2 linked regions of the Daphnia pulex genome follow. Each later gene encodes a partner of the first gene's protein in a complex. Links are inferred from orthologs where the notes say so. Each region holds a gene or a part of one and is shown on either strand. Other genes may lie near its edges.

What was found. Proteins that work in one complex are often made in the same cells at the same time.
Region 2: transcription initiation factor TFIID subunit 8-like (region 1) and transcription initiation factor TFIID subunit 13-like share a complex: the UniProt entries of both Homo sapiens proteins name them as parts of the TFIID basal transcription factor complex. The link is inferred for Daphnia pulex from reciprocal best matches to the Homo sapiens genes TAF8 and TAF13.

Annotation. Positions count from the first base shown.
Region 1 is NC_060020.1:5,722,171-5,729,595, reverse strand, and holds transcription initiation factor TFIID subunit 8-like, read right to left. Parts: upstream 3,611-7,425; 5' UTR 3,496-3,610; coding exon 3,449-3,495; intron 3,282-3,448; coding exon 3,178-3,281; intron 3,109-3,177; coding exon 3,053-3,108; intron 2,981-3,052; coding exon 2,750-2,980; intron 2,691-2,749; coding exon 2,540-2,690; intron 2,473-2,539; coding exon 2,183-2,472; 3' UTR 2,088-2,182; downstream 1-2,087. Other genes in the region: E3 ubiquitin-protein ligase TRAIP-like, read right to left, coding at 4,729-4,772, 4,830-5,524, 5,583-6,068, 6,131-6,240; ankyrin repeat domain-containing protein 13C-A-like, read left to right, coding at 7,015-7,129, 7,295-7,336, 7,402-7,425. UniProt on the Homo sapiens protein: The TFIID basal transcription factor complex plays a major role in the initiation of RNA polymerase II (Pol II)-dependent transcription.
Region 2 is NC_060026.1:12,375,268-12,383,342, forward strand, and holds transcription initiation factor TFIID subunit 13-like, read left to right. Parts: upstream 1-3,627; 5' UTR 3,628-3,762; intron 3,763-3,836; 5' UTR 3,837-4,620; coding exon 4,621-4,716; intron 4,717-4,870; coding exon 4,871-5,041; intron 5,042-5,114; exon of another isoform or gene 5,115-5,263; coding exon 5,264-5,440; 3' UTR 5,441-5,444; coding exon of another isoform or gene 5,445-5,499; 3' UTR 5,500-5,545; downstream 5,546-8,075. Other genes in the region: gastrula zinc finger protein XlCGF7.1-like, read left to right, coding at 1-44; beta carbonic anhydrase 1-like, read left to right, coding at 643-735, 800-884, 950-1,089, 1,154-1,393, 1,452-1,537, 1,599-1,722; mediator of RNA polymerase II transcription subunit 4-like, read right to left, coding at 2,069-2,370, 2,432-2,603, 2,663-2,782, 2,839-2,953, 3,247-3,314; cytochrome b5 reductase 4-like, read right to left, coding at 5,445-5,499, 5,576-5,746, 5,812-5,901, 5,978-6,032, 6,184-6,435, 6,511-7,248, 7,322-7,492. UniProt on the Homo sapiens protein: The TFIID basal transcription factor complex plays a major role in the initiation of RNA polymerase II (Pol II)-dependent transcription.

The sequences.
Region 1 (7,425 bases):
CAGATATGCCATTACTTTGTGTGCTGTCAGTTGGTCGTGGGCTGGGACTCGCGTGCAATTCCCTGTTTGATTACGATGCCAATTCTCGAGTTGAATAACAAGGAACCGTCATGATGTTTAACCTAAATCATTTTCAAGGAAAAGAAGAAGAAAAAAACGAAATGCCTGAGATAAACCAACTAGCACATAAAAGGCGAAAATTGGGAGACCGAAGATAACCCTTAAATCTGGCTGCAGCTCACGATTTCTCTTAATGCGAATGGCAGTTGTGTTGCGGTTGTGAGCCGCTGGAATGAAATCCGAAACGGACAGATGAGGTTCCCTATCAGGAAGTGCGACGAATCGTCATCTCCACGCTGCAATGAATCATGAATATTCCCCAGTGCGTACTATTCTTCTCTAAAGGTATGATTTCATCAATTTAATTCCCCGCAAAGAGAAAAAATCAAATCGAATCAAGTACTTTGGACAGGTTGACAGATCACCTGTGGCAACCGGCAGCTGCCGGCTCGTTTGCGAATCATTGAATCATTCTCCGAGTCATTCCCCTGTCAATAATCCATCAGTGACGACTGACGAATGCATGTGTTGCAAAGGTACAACTTTCTACGCTCGTGCTGGCTATAGTCCGGGTTCCTGGTTTAGCGTTTTAGACTGCTGTGAGAAAGGAGACATCTGAATTTTAATTTCAGTCAATCCTTCATTCGCATCAAATGGTTCCTTGACAGCCTTTGTTTGAGCTGTCGGCTTCTAAGATAAAACTGTTTTTTGTTTTTCAGCTTCTATTATTTCAAGCAACCATGTTATGTCCTGCATGAGGACTTTTTCCCATTTAAATTTGTTGGAATTGACGTCACGAATTGACGTGCTTTGAAGTACCCAGATCACCAAGTTTCCCAAACATCTTTACAAACGCAGACCTTTGTGATTGGTTTTGTCAAATTAGATTTTCATTGCTTCTCTTGACGAATATTAAAATTGATAAGAAGGTGGAAATTTATTCTTGGAGCGTCAGTAGGTGAACTCCACGGCCAGAAGCGCTAAACCGGACTATGCTATGCATGAAGTGGTTGGCCACTAGTGACCAAGAAAAGTTCTTGGTTCGACCTTCTCCGATTTGCGTCATCCGGCCGATCGGTTTGCCAGGACCAAAAGACGCGCGAGACTTTCGTTTACGAATTACGACGTTGGCAATCAACCCTCCTCTTTTACTTGTGGCAGTTGTTGTTTGCTTGATGAATCGTAAATGACAGGTTGTATGTAATAATACGTCTAATAAATTGTACAACATACCAAACGTACGAAGGAGCATATTGCATGTATAACGCAACAACTGCAAAGATATGTTTATCGCGTATCTCAATAGTTGAAAATTTGATATTTTCTAACCACAAGCTCCGATTTCAGCTTCAATCAATCATTTAATTTAATTTCAATTGTTCCTTCATTACAGTGCATACAAATAGATTTATCCTATTACATTTAAAATGATTAAAATTTTTAAACAATTCCCCTTATGCCGTAACAGCATTGTATATAATAACCAAAAACTGAAAATTACCCTACTTAAGTGCGGGATATAGCTTTATTTTCTTATCGCTAGGTGTCTTATTTTTCCATTTTACAAAGTCGTCTGCAAGTGGTACTCAACAACTTTGTGAAAATGTCACGATATTTAACGAAATTTAGGTAATAAAAACTTTATCGGTCACGTGGAGGCACTCACTATAATACTTTATAATATATTTAGATTGGCCATACCTCTAGTTATTCAGACCAGGCAATTAAATGCTCATAGAGCGTCAATCGGTAGTATTGGACGATCTATCTACGTGAGAACATACCCAACTTTGCTTGTACAACCTGACGGTTCTACAATAACCGTACATTATAATGAACCTCGCGCAATAATAAAGGCAAATTTATTTTTATTTTTAATAAGTATGGACGTAATGTTTGTTTTACTTCCATTAACAGCTGCCTCTGGACTTGAGTATGCTATCTGAAGCTGAGAAGCAAAAACGACTGGCCCAAAGGAAGCCAAAGAAAAAGGTCAAGATTGAAGAGGAAATTGAAGACACATTTGATCAAGATTCATATTCACATTTATGGAAAAAATGAGATGACAGCTGATACACAAATAGTACGAAAAATAAACTAAATTTAACAATATGGATTGTGGTTATGGGGAGCTCTTTTTCTTTGAAAAAGGCATTTTAACTGGTCTGATGAATGGATTTTCCATGATAAATGGTTCTGAATTTGACATTTCCATCAGTGAGCCATTAGGTCCAAGGTTATCCATCATTTCATTGTTCTCTTTCTCCTGATCCAACTTGGCGGCTTTAATGGCTTCAGCATTTGCTTCTTCTTGCTTTTGCATGTGGACGGCTGCCTCGTCTTCTTCAAAAGTTTGATCGCGAGGGAGAAGGGCGGACAAAAACGGTTTATCCATTGGCTTACATGCAATAACTAGGACACAAAGAATATATTTAAATGAAAAAGGTATACATTACTATTTTTTTCGTCCTCTACTTACGGGGATAATGCGTCAAATCTTCGACCAAAAAGAAACTCTGCGTTTCCCCTGTTTTAGCGACAAAGCGCGTCAGTGCTCTCTCCACATCTCGCTTTTGACAGGATGCCTTTTCTCGAATAGTTTCGTAGTCCGTAATAGGTTGTTTGTGAGTCTTAAAAAACAATAATTATTAAAAAATATAATGTATGACAAATATGGAAAACAACATACTGGTGTTTGAACATATGCATGTGAATCTGGAAATGCTGGCAAATGATCTGGGATATGACTTGGATGTGGTCTCTTTTGACCAGTTTGTAAAATTCCAATTTGTTTGGTTGCAACAGCTTGAGTAGGAGTTGGTAAAACTAGCCTTCTTGCTCTTTGAGCATATGATTCCAAAGAGTTGTGCTTAATTCCCATTGAAACCAAGGCCATAACAACATCTCCTACAACAGGTTCCTAAAATTAAAACATATAACTTGACTACTGATTATACCCTATAACTCAGAGAAGAATTTAGATAACCCATACCACTCTTGCAGATAATTCACAGTAAAGACGGCTACTATGACCAAGTTCAGTCAGAACTGTAGAAAGAAAATAAATAAATAAGGTTTTTAACAAATATGATTACTTTGATAGATAGAAATGCTTACAGCTCTGCATCATCTCGGTAAGGGTCTCCAATGACAATTCATCTACTGCACTGAAGCCTGCCTCACTACACAAACAACTCACACTGGCCTGAAGCAGTTTCCTTCTACAAATATTTAAGATAAATTACATTTGTGTAAAACACCTAATTATTAAGGTCTGTCTAAATCTGACATCAAATACTGTAACATGGAAAAAAAAGATTGAGTATCCTTGTCAGTATTTTAGTCTTTTAAAAGTTGTTTTTCACCACACGTATATTAAATGTTTTACCTAGAAGCTGCTCCAGACATGATGGGTTCTGAAACAGTAGTAGTCATTCTCGGTGTTGTGGTTTATAGAAGAAATGATTTTTTATTGAATTATAATATTTGTTGAATGGTTTTGTTGACAATGCAACAAAACTAGCAGTACAGTCGTTGGTCGTTGCTAAACAGTCGCTAGGATTGGTGCAGCGGCGGCACCTGAAAGCTTCGTCAGATTCACTCGCCGTCAATTCTTTCATTTGGTTCTGAACTTGTAAGTCGTCGTCGTCCTAGTGAGTTTTTATCGTCTTTCATCTGGATTTTACCATAATATAGTTTTACAAAAATGTTCTGTTTAATTAAAGCATTATATAGACGACATTTGTGAGTTTTTCCGTGTTCGTAAATAGTAAACTTCCTATTTTTCTAAACAGGATTATCTAGCCACACCAGCTATATACAATGGCCAAATCCAAGAATCACACAAATCACAACCAGAGTAAGTTTATAAATTATATATTTGGAGACACGTTTTAACGTTTCCTCATTTACAGACCGTAAACATCATCGTAATGGCATCAAGAAATCCCAGGCTCACAAGTGCCCATCCAACAAAGGAGTAAGATTTTTGTTTCTTTAGTTACTTGGAACATTTGTCAAATTGACTAGAATTGGTTATTTAGTATACTTTTGAAGGTTCTTTGTAGTTCCTTGTTGCTTTAAAAATCAAGCCCATATTGATTACTGTTCACTGAAATCCATAAATTTCATTCTAAGTTACTTGACGTGAACTTTTCGTGCCATGTATGTGTTTAACCAATGTTAGTTGAGATTGAAGTTTTAATGTTTCTCCTCATTTGCAGGTCGATCGCAAGTTTTTGAGGAACATGAAGAAATCGCGCGCACGCAATCTGAGCACTGCTAAGCAGTTGATTGTCGCCAAGTACCGCAAGGACCAGGCCGAAAAGTAGTTTCTCAAATTCGCGAGGATTAAGTTTTGTGTAAAACAAAATGTTCTAAATACAAATCTTGATTCTACCTTTTCATCTATTACCTAAATTTATAATTAATGTAATATAATTTATAACTAAATCATAAGACTTATAGAATTGTTTTGCCAAAAAAAGCCGACTATTGTTGTTCATGGCTTCATGCAGCAGATTACTTAAATCTACAAGGATACAAAAAAGACCAATTTGTTTTTTATTACGCCAGTTATATATTTTAAGACAATCTGTACAAAATATAATTTGTATTGGACATCTGACGGATAGACTATTAGCAGCAAATTAACATCTTCAATTTATATTATTGAGAGTAAAAGTAATCTAAGGTCGTGGTCTGCGTTTTACCTGTAAAGAAAAAACGTCGTTAAATATCCTATTTCAGTAATGATTAACAGTTTTTACCTTTAATTTTCATTGTAACTGGTCCTCTCTTCTTTTTAGTGCCTGAAAGTGATGAACTGGAGGAACCGGCACCTTTTGGGTAAATTTCGGGTTTTGCGTGACCTCCAAATCCATCATAGAAATAACCACTAGTTGACGGTACTGGATCGACTTTCATTTTTTTAAACTTCAGGGATTCACCATCAACGGATGCGGATGAACTGCTAGCTTTGCGAGCCTCCTTTCGCTGAGTACTGGAAGCTGCTTCTTCTTGTTCAGGATTGCTAAGTTTGGGCTGCATGCTCGAAATATTTTGCGATGACAACATCAATCTAGACGAAGGAACGTTCGAAGGTTTCATTCTAAGCGGAACTAATGGAGTAGAAGGTGACGATGGCGTTGTCATGAGAAGATTAGACATTCGAAGGTTAGTCGGCGCAGGACTCTCATTGATTAGACGAGACAGCGCAGAGTTGCGAGGATCACCACTCGGCGATGAGATCGACTCCGTAAGGGCCTTAAGCTTTTCTTGCAGTTTTGCATTTTCTGTAGTATATCTTTTAATATCCTCTTCTGCCAAGCTGGATTGCTCTTCTTTCTCCTTCAATTCCTTCTTGGTTTGCTGGAGTTCAAGGCGGAAAGTGCTTAGGAGTCGTCGACATTTTCTTAACTCTTCGTCGGCTTTCTGCTTTAGTTGTACTTTAGTATTCAGCTCCCTATGGGAAAATAAACTTTGAAACAAAGCTTTGAATGTTGGCTGATATTATTCAGTACCTGCTTAAAATCACACATTGCGTGCTCAAGGATTTGGCCGTTTCTGAGTGATCACCATATTGCTCCAGCATTTCTTTTACTTCGTCATGAGTAGCAGTCACAATTTGTTGAACATTTTCCATCAGTTTAAGCTTTCCTTTACAAGTCTGCAGCTCTTCTTCTACGATGGCGAAAGACTTAACTTGCTTATTCAGGAAATCGACTCTCTGTTGGAGGTTGCTTATGACGGTTTCCGACTCACGAACTTTTTCTGCACTTTCCTTTTTTTCTTTACAGTACTTGTTAGATTTTTTCTTTAGAGTAACATTCTCTTGCCTAACTTCTCTCAGTTCTCTTTGTACAACTTGAAATTCCAGGGACATTTCATCCAGCTTTTGTTGAAGATCTGCAGAGTCCACTTCAACAGAGAAAGCAATATCAAAGAAGATTCTGCCTAGTTTTTCATTAGACGTGGTTTGACGACAGGTTGGACAAGATTTCTTGGTACTGTACATTTAAGGAAAAAGATGTTAAGGATATCAACAAGAAAACTGTATTAAAGGTGTTACCCAAGCCATTGTGTGATGCAAGTGTTGTGAAATGTGTGACCACATTGTGGAGCCATGACGACATCAGAGTCACCAAAGAGCTCCTGACAGACAGAACACTGGGCACGCATTGTGTGGCTTTGTAAACTAAACCAGTAGCTTTTACAAATCTGAAAAGATAATTAATCATGAGTAAAAGAAATGAGTTTACCACTCATCAAGGAAATTATTCCAAATTAACACATAAACAAAGTGGGATAACAGACTATGTAGTCTGAGATAAACACAAAATGTTTAGGTAGAAAAGTTTAACTTTACTTCTCCTTCAACACCACTGAGACCATCAGTAGCCTCACAAATTAGCACCAAGGACAAACGTTTGAACCAAATTCTTACCTAAATTACTCATGACTCACAGAAAGTTGAAGATCGACAAAGAGTTAAACTTATTTTGGAAATCGACCACTAGCGCCTCCATTTAACGCGCCTTTTGTGTAATATTCGTGTGTCACATGAGAAAAATTGGTTACAACCTTTTTCTCCCAAATAACAAAGTTAAACACAAATTTGGGGTTTATTTTTTAAGAATATTATTTTTTCATTTTTTTCTACAAAATATTGCTCTATTTTAAAAAATGTTATGTTTTTTTGTTTGTGACTTTGCAGAACCAAAGAAAATGGAGATAAGGCAAGATGAAAAGAATAAAAAGGTCTTTTCACTCCCGCACTCTAGCGACTAGACCCAGAAGCTTAAATTTAAAAAGTGTCGAGTGTTGCTACAGTTGCAAGTTAAGCTACAAAAGCGCTAGTGTCAGCAATATTTTTGCCGTAATATTTCTAGAATTCTAGTCAACTTGTGATATCTCTGTTTATCCAGTGTGCGGAACGAAAGGTAAACATGAAAAATGGCCGATGATTCAAGTTCATTATTCCCGCTACACTCGTGTGTTTATCGTAACGATATTCGTCAATTGTCTTCTCTTTTACGTACTACAGATATTAACCAAAAGGATAAACATGGTGACTTTTATTTCACTAACTTACAACTATATTTTTTCTTTTTTTTTATACAATAAAATTTTATTGTTTTGAGCGGCATCCTGTCTCCGTGAACATGGCTCGATTAATTTTGCTTTTTTTTTTAAATATCGTTTCGATAAATAAAATATTAATTTTCTGTTGTAGGGAACACAGTTCTTCATTTGGCAGTTATGTTGGGTCACAAAGGCAAGTCCTTACAATAGAAAATTTGAAAAAAGGAATTTATACTTATTTTGACATTTCTTTTGCAGAATGCATACATTTGCTGCTAGCCC
Region 2 (8,075 bases), on another chromosome or scaffold:
CAATACATGAAGTCTTTGGTCACGCCCTCGAAGAATTGAGCTAACCGCATCTCAAATGCTCAATTTTATGTTCAATAAATTAAATTATTGAAATTCTGTCGTGAAAATACAAAAGCAAACAAAACGTCACGTAGCCTGAACATGTTTGTTTTTTTAATTCAATAATTGATAAGGATACCGCTTACGGCTATTCCGTGTTCATACATACAAATAAAGATTCAAAACAAAACAAAAAAACGGCTTTTGTATGATATGACTGCCATCTATTATCAAATTCCTAAAAATAAGAATTCAATTAACGCAATATTAAATAATGAATAAAGGTGCCGCCGCAATTTACGCAATGAAATTTCACCGAAATAATAATTTTAAAAAACGAATCGCTGTGTTGCTGGCAGTACCGCGCAACCGATCTATTTTGATTTTGGCATGAAACATCAATCCTCAGCCGACGATAAAAACGTCTGCTTGCAGTCACATGGCAACGGAGTTACTTGTCTCTCTGGTTGTATCTAGTTGTTGAACTAACGTAAACACTCATCATAACAGGACCATTGGACCATCAAGAAATACACTCTTGCACCTTATTTATCGTCGCCCCAATCCCTTCGGTCGACATTCCAACGTGGACATAAAAAAAAAATGGACAAAATATTGAAAGGTATCCTTAAATACAGAAAAACGTATCGAACTGAAATGGTGGAACAGTTTAAACAAGTTGCTGATCGACCTGAGGTAAAAAGTTTTTTTTTCATTAGTTTTTTTTCATTCAAAACATAAAATAATCGTATATTTCTAGCCAAAAGCAGTGTTTTTTACCTGTATGGACAGCAGAATGCTTCCAACTCGATTTACACAAACAGATGTTGGTGATATGTTCATAGGTATGTTAAAACACAAGTATATATACTGCTTGCTTTTTTATATTCCTGGACATTGTAAATATAAGTTAGAAATGCTGGTAATCTGGTTCCTCACTCGAAGCTGTATGGAATTGATTCAGCTACCACTGAACCAGCAGCCCTGGAGCTGGGGTGCATTGTAAATAATGTGAAGCACATGGTTGTTTGTGGACACTCAGATTGCAAGGTCAGTCAACCATAAACTTGTTAAATGATAACATAAACATAATGACACACAACTTTTGTTTCAGGCTATGAACCTATTGTATAGTTTTAAAAAAGGAATTGAAACCAACATGAGAACTCTCGAGAGATCTCCACTTAAAGCTTGGCTTCATCGCCATGGTAGTATTTCTCTAACTAAATTTGAGAGGTTAGAAGTGCATGGTTTCCAACAGCCCTTGACTTTCCCAATGGAGGGACCATTCAGACAATTTGTTGCCTACATAGACCCTGACAATAAATTTAGTCTAACAGATAAGCTCTCACAGGTAGAATTATGCCAAGTTATGTAATGTCTACAAATCTAATTGGGTTATCTTTTTTCAGCTCAACACATTGCAACAACTACAGCATATTGCCAGTTATAGCTTCATTCAAAGTGCCATAAATTCGGGGCGAGTACACCTTCACGCGTATGTATCATGTATCAAACGTTTACTCGTAAGTGTTTAATGTTGAAATTTATGATACTAGGTTATGGTTCGACATCTATACCGGAGACATCTACGTCTTTAGCCGCAAGCAAAAACGGTTTGTGGAGATAAGCGAAGAGACATCCGATTATTTGCTCGATGAAATACGCGAATACTTTGTGTGACCTTAACCGACGTGCCTCGGGTTATTATGCTGAAGAATATATGGAAATCTAGGTATTTTTATAGAGATGACGCACATCTCCTGAATTTATATGGGGAGTTCGATTCTAAAGCTATTTTGTAAATAGTGAGAAGTTAACTATAAAATAAATTGTTGCATAACTTTATAATGGAAAAGAATTTGAACAATTCGAAAAAGGAATTGCACAAATATTTATCTATTTTACGAACCTTTGAATGAGGAAGGTTTTCAAAAAGAAATGCGAAAGTAGAATAGTATACAGGATGGTTACCAACAATATTAAGCAATCGCGCAGGATACAGAGTGTAAATTGTTAGCTCACGTGTTTACTGAGAATCGGAAGATGAACTGCTACTCGAGTCCGTAGACATAACGTCGACATCTTCATTCTCTTTCTTGGGATTTTTGTGATCCATTCCACCACTCACACCCAAGTGTGAAACTGACAAACAGGGCATTTGCAGGTCATTTTGAGATAACCAACTATAAGTGCCTGCTTGAGAATTCGGAACTGAAGACCCCTGCTGCAAAGAATGATTAGGACGATGCAAAAGTTCTGGAAAACTCATGTGTCCATTGACATTCATTTCACCAAGACGGCCCAAAAATCCTAGCCGCATTTCAATATCTGAAAACCACCACAAAACAACATGAAACTACTGGACAGCAATTTAAAAAAAAATTTCTACCCGTGGGATATGGTCTGCGTAAATCTCCTTGCTGCCAATTCAAAGGAGCACAAACAGCGTTGGAAGCCGATATTCTGTGAGCAAATTTTATCAACTCTTCGGAATTTACAGGTCTGTTATTCGCCCGTGTGATTGATTGCAACTTTTGCTTAGCTTGAAAGATTGCAGTAGCCTGAAAAAGAGTAAGTTTATGAAATACTAAAACCAACAAAATAATTAAAAATAGCTTACTAATAGCTGCTCTGCCTCCTTAAGCTGCTTTTGAAGATTTCGAATCTCAACATCATGCCTTTCAACTTCTGTCTCTAAGGCAACTACTTTTTGTTGTAATACACCTTGTTCTTCAGCCAACTTAATAAAAGAAAGAATTAGCATTGAAAAAAATTATGAAAAACAAATAATTTTACCTTAAGTGTTGCCTTAAGATCAGTGTCTTTTTGAAGAACCAATTCAACAAGTTGAGAGTGTTCAGTACTCATAGGTTTCTGCTGCTTCTGGGCTATTAAGTTGTCCAAAAGTTCCCTAATAAATTAAAAAGATTAAGTTTAGTACAGTGACAATTATATTTTGGAAGATTAAAATTCAATAATCAAATTCAAAACAGTGTATGATACAAACGAGTGTGACAAAGTGTTCTGAATTTCAGGTAAACAATGGTATGATTACCTAATAAGATAAATAAATATATCATGCTAATGAACAATAGATAGATCTGAGGCTTTAACTTTCATTAAAAAAATTTTGAAGGAAGAACAATTGCACTACGTGATCAAAATAGTCGACGAACAAAGGCAGCCAAATCAAGAAAAACTTACTTTGCGATGATTTCGATATCGTCGATGCAAGTAAGCAATACTTCTCTGGTACTTTTTTGAGAAGTCATGTCTAGTTATTTTTATTCCTTTTTATAGAAATAGTTATAAAAACAGGTAAGTGAAACTTTCCAATCAAAATTAGTTTTTCTTGAATGCGGCTCGGCTACGGCTGCAACAACAACTAGAGAAGTGAGGTTGCCATATCTAGATTTAACCTGACCACGTATTTTTTTAAATTTCCTTATCCTTTATTTATGGATTCATTCGGAGTCGAATCACCGCTCTACAACGTGATTTCGTTAAAAGAAACTAAAAAATATAATAGTAATGAGATATGTTTGAAGTGTATAATAATGCAACACTGGCGACGATTTATGAATCGAATTTCGTAAACATAAACAGACAGCAGGAATCCGCTGTTCCGCTCTTGATCGTCTGACCCGCCCAAAGTTTTCCGAGCAATTTCTCAAAAACAAACTCCGGAAAGAGTGAAAAGACATTCATTTGTTTGCTTGGGTGAGTATATAGTCCAGCAATTCGACTTTAGAATCTCCAGTTATGAGGACTTTAAAACACATTTTGTGTTACAGATTCTTGGTTCAGTTCCTGTCTACAAGAATGTCGAATGACAAGTCTGTCAAAGTTAAGGTTGGAGAAGAAGAACGAGTATCGCAAAGTTTATGCGGTTGTTCGGTCGGAAAATTTTGGAAATGGAAGTACAGTGTCCATAAACAATGAGCAGAAAAAACAACTAGGTATAGAAGGAGACTATCATGCCGGGCATATCATTGCCAAAATGCTTGGAGGATCGGGATCGGACGTAAATAATCTCGTCCCCATGCACAAAAATTTCAACAACAGTGCCTACAAATCTTTCGAATTTGAAGTCCGCAAGATGATTGAGGATTCTGAAAAATTTTACCCCGGAAAACAAGTAGAAGCTCGTATCACTGTTTCCTTATTTTACAATCAAGGTTCCAATAAACCATATCGAATCAAGTATGATGTTGCCATGTACGCTAACGGCGTAGAAAAGCCGAGTTACGTTGGAGATTTCAAACTGAATGAAAATGGACGACACTAATTTAAATCGAGGAAATTTTTGCTTTGACGCTTTTTGCAGAGCTATAACTCTGGCTTTTTGTAACCAATAAACATTTTTCAATGTTGAATGCGTAATCAGGCGCCGCGCAATGTATTTTTTTTACAAGAAAGCAGATTTTAGTACGTACAAGAGTGCTTTTACAGCCATCTGGCAACCGTTTTCGTTACTAACCTACCTAGTGTCTTCTGCAGTGGTTGATTTGTTGACGTTTATTGCTCGAAAATTCTCCAACCCACTAACATTTACTCGTTTAGTAATCAAATTTCAAAATGTCTTCTCCCTCGGTGAATACTTCATTGACTTCGTCCCCACAGAAAGAAAGAGACAGCAAAGAAAGAGAAAATCCAGATGAAAACTATGATCAGGTAATTTTCTTCTTTTAAGTTACATTAAATCTTAAGTAATTTCCAGCTGAAAGTTTTGCTGGTACATATAACATATTGCTGGTGGAAATTTTTGTATTTAAATTTGTTTTAATGCTTTACTGTTCATTTAATTTCTAAATGTTTCAATTTCTAGTTTGATGATGATGAACCTGATTTGCATTATGGATCCACTTCATCAGGCAGAAAGCGCCTCTTCAGCAAGGAACTTCGTTGCATGATGTTTGGATTTGGTGATGATCAAAATCCCTATACAGAAAGTGTTGATCTGCTGGAAGACCTTGTTATTGAATACATCACTGAAACGGTAGGACTAATACCTTAAAATTTTTTTCAAACTGTGACATCTGATTTGCTATCTTTGAATTTTATTTATCAAGTTAGAATGCAAAAATGTTTATTTTTGAAATCAAATGCAAATGTTTCATCGTGTTATGGCAATTCACAAAGAGTCGGCAACCTGATTAGAATTCTATAACATGGCAAATGACTTTATTGACATTAACTATTTGCATTATTACTACTTCAGACGCACAAGGCCATGGAAACTGGACGGACAGGCCGAGTTCAAGTTGAAGACATGGTGTTTTTAGTTCGCAAGGACACGCGTAAATTTGCCCGCGTCAAAGACCTTCTAACCATGAACGAGGAGCTGAAGAAAGCTCGTAAAGCTTTCGATGAAGTCAAATATGCAGGCGTTTCCTAATTTTCTATCCCGAAAACGCGTGAACGGCCTCATTTATGTATCCTGCAGCATCCAGCAACCTTTTTTAACAATAAATAAACTTTCGTCATTTTTTTCAATCCAAAATTTCGTGTGAATTTTCAAAGAATGTATCACCTGAGTGTTTCCAAAGTAAAGTCTGACGGTCCGCAAACACACGCAAAATTGGAACCGTCGTCAGGACAATCCCTACCTAAAATAGTTGTGGCTAGTATAGAATTGTTGATTCGGCCTCGAAGACCTAACCATTCTTCATCCGGCTCAGACAATACGTGCCATACTTTAAACCTGTTGAAAAATTGATATAGATGTTTCATTAATGTGAGGTTAGAATGAAATTTCGGTTTTTCTACTTCTCAGGATATTTAAGTTCTAATTCCCGAAACTCTTCTTTCCAGATTATGTCTTCTTGAGTTCGGTTGAAGAACAGTAACATAACACGCCTAAATTAATCAAAATTGGTATTCAAATGAGCTTAGTTCATAAGAGATTAATCGACAAAAACATCAAAAGGGGTACCTATTATTGCGTAAGGTATCGATTGTTATTCTGACTAATGGCGTGATCCCCGTACCTGGAATTTTAATTTATTAAAAAAAGAATGTAATTTACTTAAGATGTTTGCTATTGGTTAATATATCACGGGAGGGCAAATATGAATAAACAGAACAATGTCAACAAAGACAAGGCAACAATGGGGGTCGTCCAACAATGCTAATACGTACCAGCGGCGATAGCTACCACATTCTTGCTCTCTAATTGCGATTCTAGGAAGTTTCCAGTTGGATCACTCACTTCAATCGAGCTGTTACCCTCAGCCAATCGATCCAATGCCGAAGTAAATGGTCCAGCAGGGTAGATTTTGATTAGAAACTGAAGCGAACTAGACGCTTCAGTTTTAGATGGGCAGTCTGTTGTCTTGCACGAAGAAAGATCAGAAACAACAGGAGTGTAGCTACGGATTAATTCACTTCCATCTAATGATTAGAAACGTGAAAATAAAAAATAAAAATAAAAAACCCTTTTTCAAGATCACGCATATGTGCAATCACCTTCCAGAGATAGTTTGAGTTGAACATGCCAACCAACAGGGACGTAAAAGTCTTGACCAGTAGGAAACGTCAAAGTGAATAGAAAAACATTGTGATTAACGCGCAATTTGCGTGTTAAAGTGGCCTGGCGGAAGAATGGTGAGGCTTGGCTTAACGGCTGAAACCCTTGGCTGACGTCCTCCAAATCGCCCAATTTCTGCCAATGGAGTGCAGTTTGTATTTTGCGCAATACCAATTCCACTTTGCCCGTTGTCAACGATACTGTAACCTTACAGGAAGATTCGACAACTTCGGCTAAGTGAATTTGATAATCGTAACAGCGTGACCAATCGTCGCTGTAGATACGAATACGGAAAAGTTTCCCGTCGATAGACGTCGACACCCGGTGTGCGTCAAGTCCTTTTTGTCGCGTATAAAGGACGACAGTGACGCTGGTGGAGTTCTGCATCCAATCGGTGGTGACAACTCCAATAGAAGGCGTCGATATCGACAGAGTGGGCGGAGGAGGCGCAGGAAAGCCCTTTCCAACGATAACTTTGCTTTGTGCGCGTTTGACTGGAGGCAGCATGGAATCCGCCTTCAATCTTCCGACCAGGCATTTCTTCAGCATCGATTCGTAGTTTACCCATTTATGGACTTCATCGAACAAATCGGTAGCGTCAATCCCGACACCACGCAACAACTCTTCCTCGCCGCCAGGATGGAATTCGAAATAAGAAGTTACGTTGTACACCATTCCTTATTTTGAAGAAAATAAAATTATAATTGATTATTAGGAAGGAGAAAAAAGAAAAGCATTAAATAATAGAACCTCTAATGGCCAGCCAAGCGTCATTTTTGCTATTATGCTGAGCGAGTTCGTTAGGAGAGATATCCCTTAACCGATTTCCCGTTCCACTGAGATCAGTAGATGAGTTGGTGAGTTTGATCCAATCCATGAGGGAACGTCCTGGTTTGAGCGCAGTTTTGTTGCGCGGATTTCCTGTGTTAGCAGAAGTGGATAGATTAGACATGTTTCAGTCAAGGTGCAGTGGCTGCGCAGGCCGTGACAAGACTGGCTCAAGAGCTGCGGGATCACGTCCAAGTCATTCACGGCTGTAAGGCTGAAACGCGTGCACCACCATGAAAGACTTAAAAGACACGGGATGGCGAAAAGGGGACGGTCTAAATGAGAAGTAGGAGGGTACTGAATGGGCTGCGCAACTCTCGCTCGATCAATAGTTTCTTTAGCCTCGCTTGGTCAAATATAAAAAGCGAACTAGAATCAAATGATTGTCCATTGATGACTGCCGACCCGGTCGTGATCCTGTTATTTATTAGCCTCAGCCAATACTGTGGACTAGTAGAGTAAAGCGACTAAAAATAAACTAGTTCAATTTATTGGCTAATTTTGGTCTTAGCTTGAATTAACTAACTAAACTACTGATCAGCTCTTGGTAAATTCATTAAATTGAATCCTTTGTTCTCTTTCAACAAGAGATGTAATGCATCGGTTGCACAAGTCACTAAACAAAGACGCCACAAAACGAACAAAACAATCGACAATATTCTCGAAATCTGGAGTA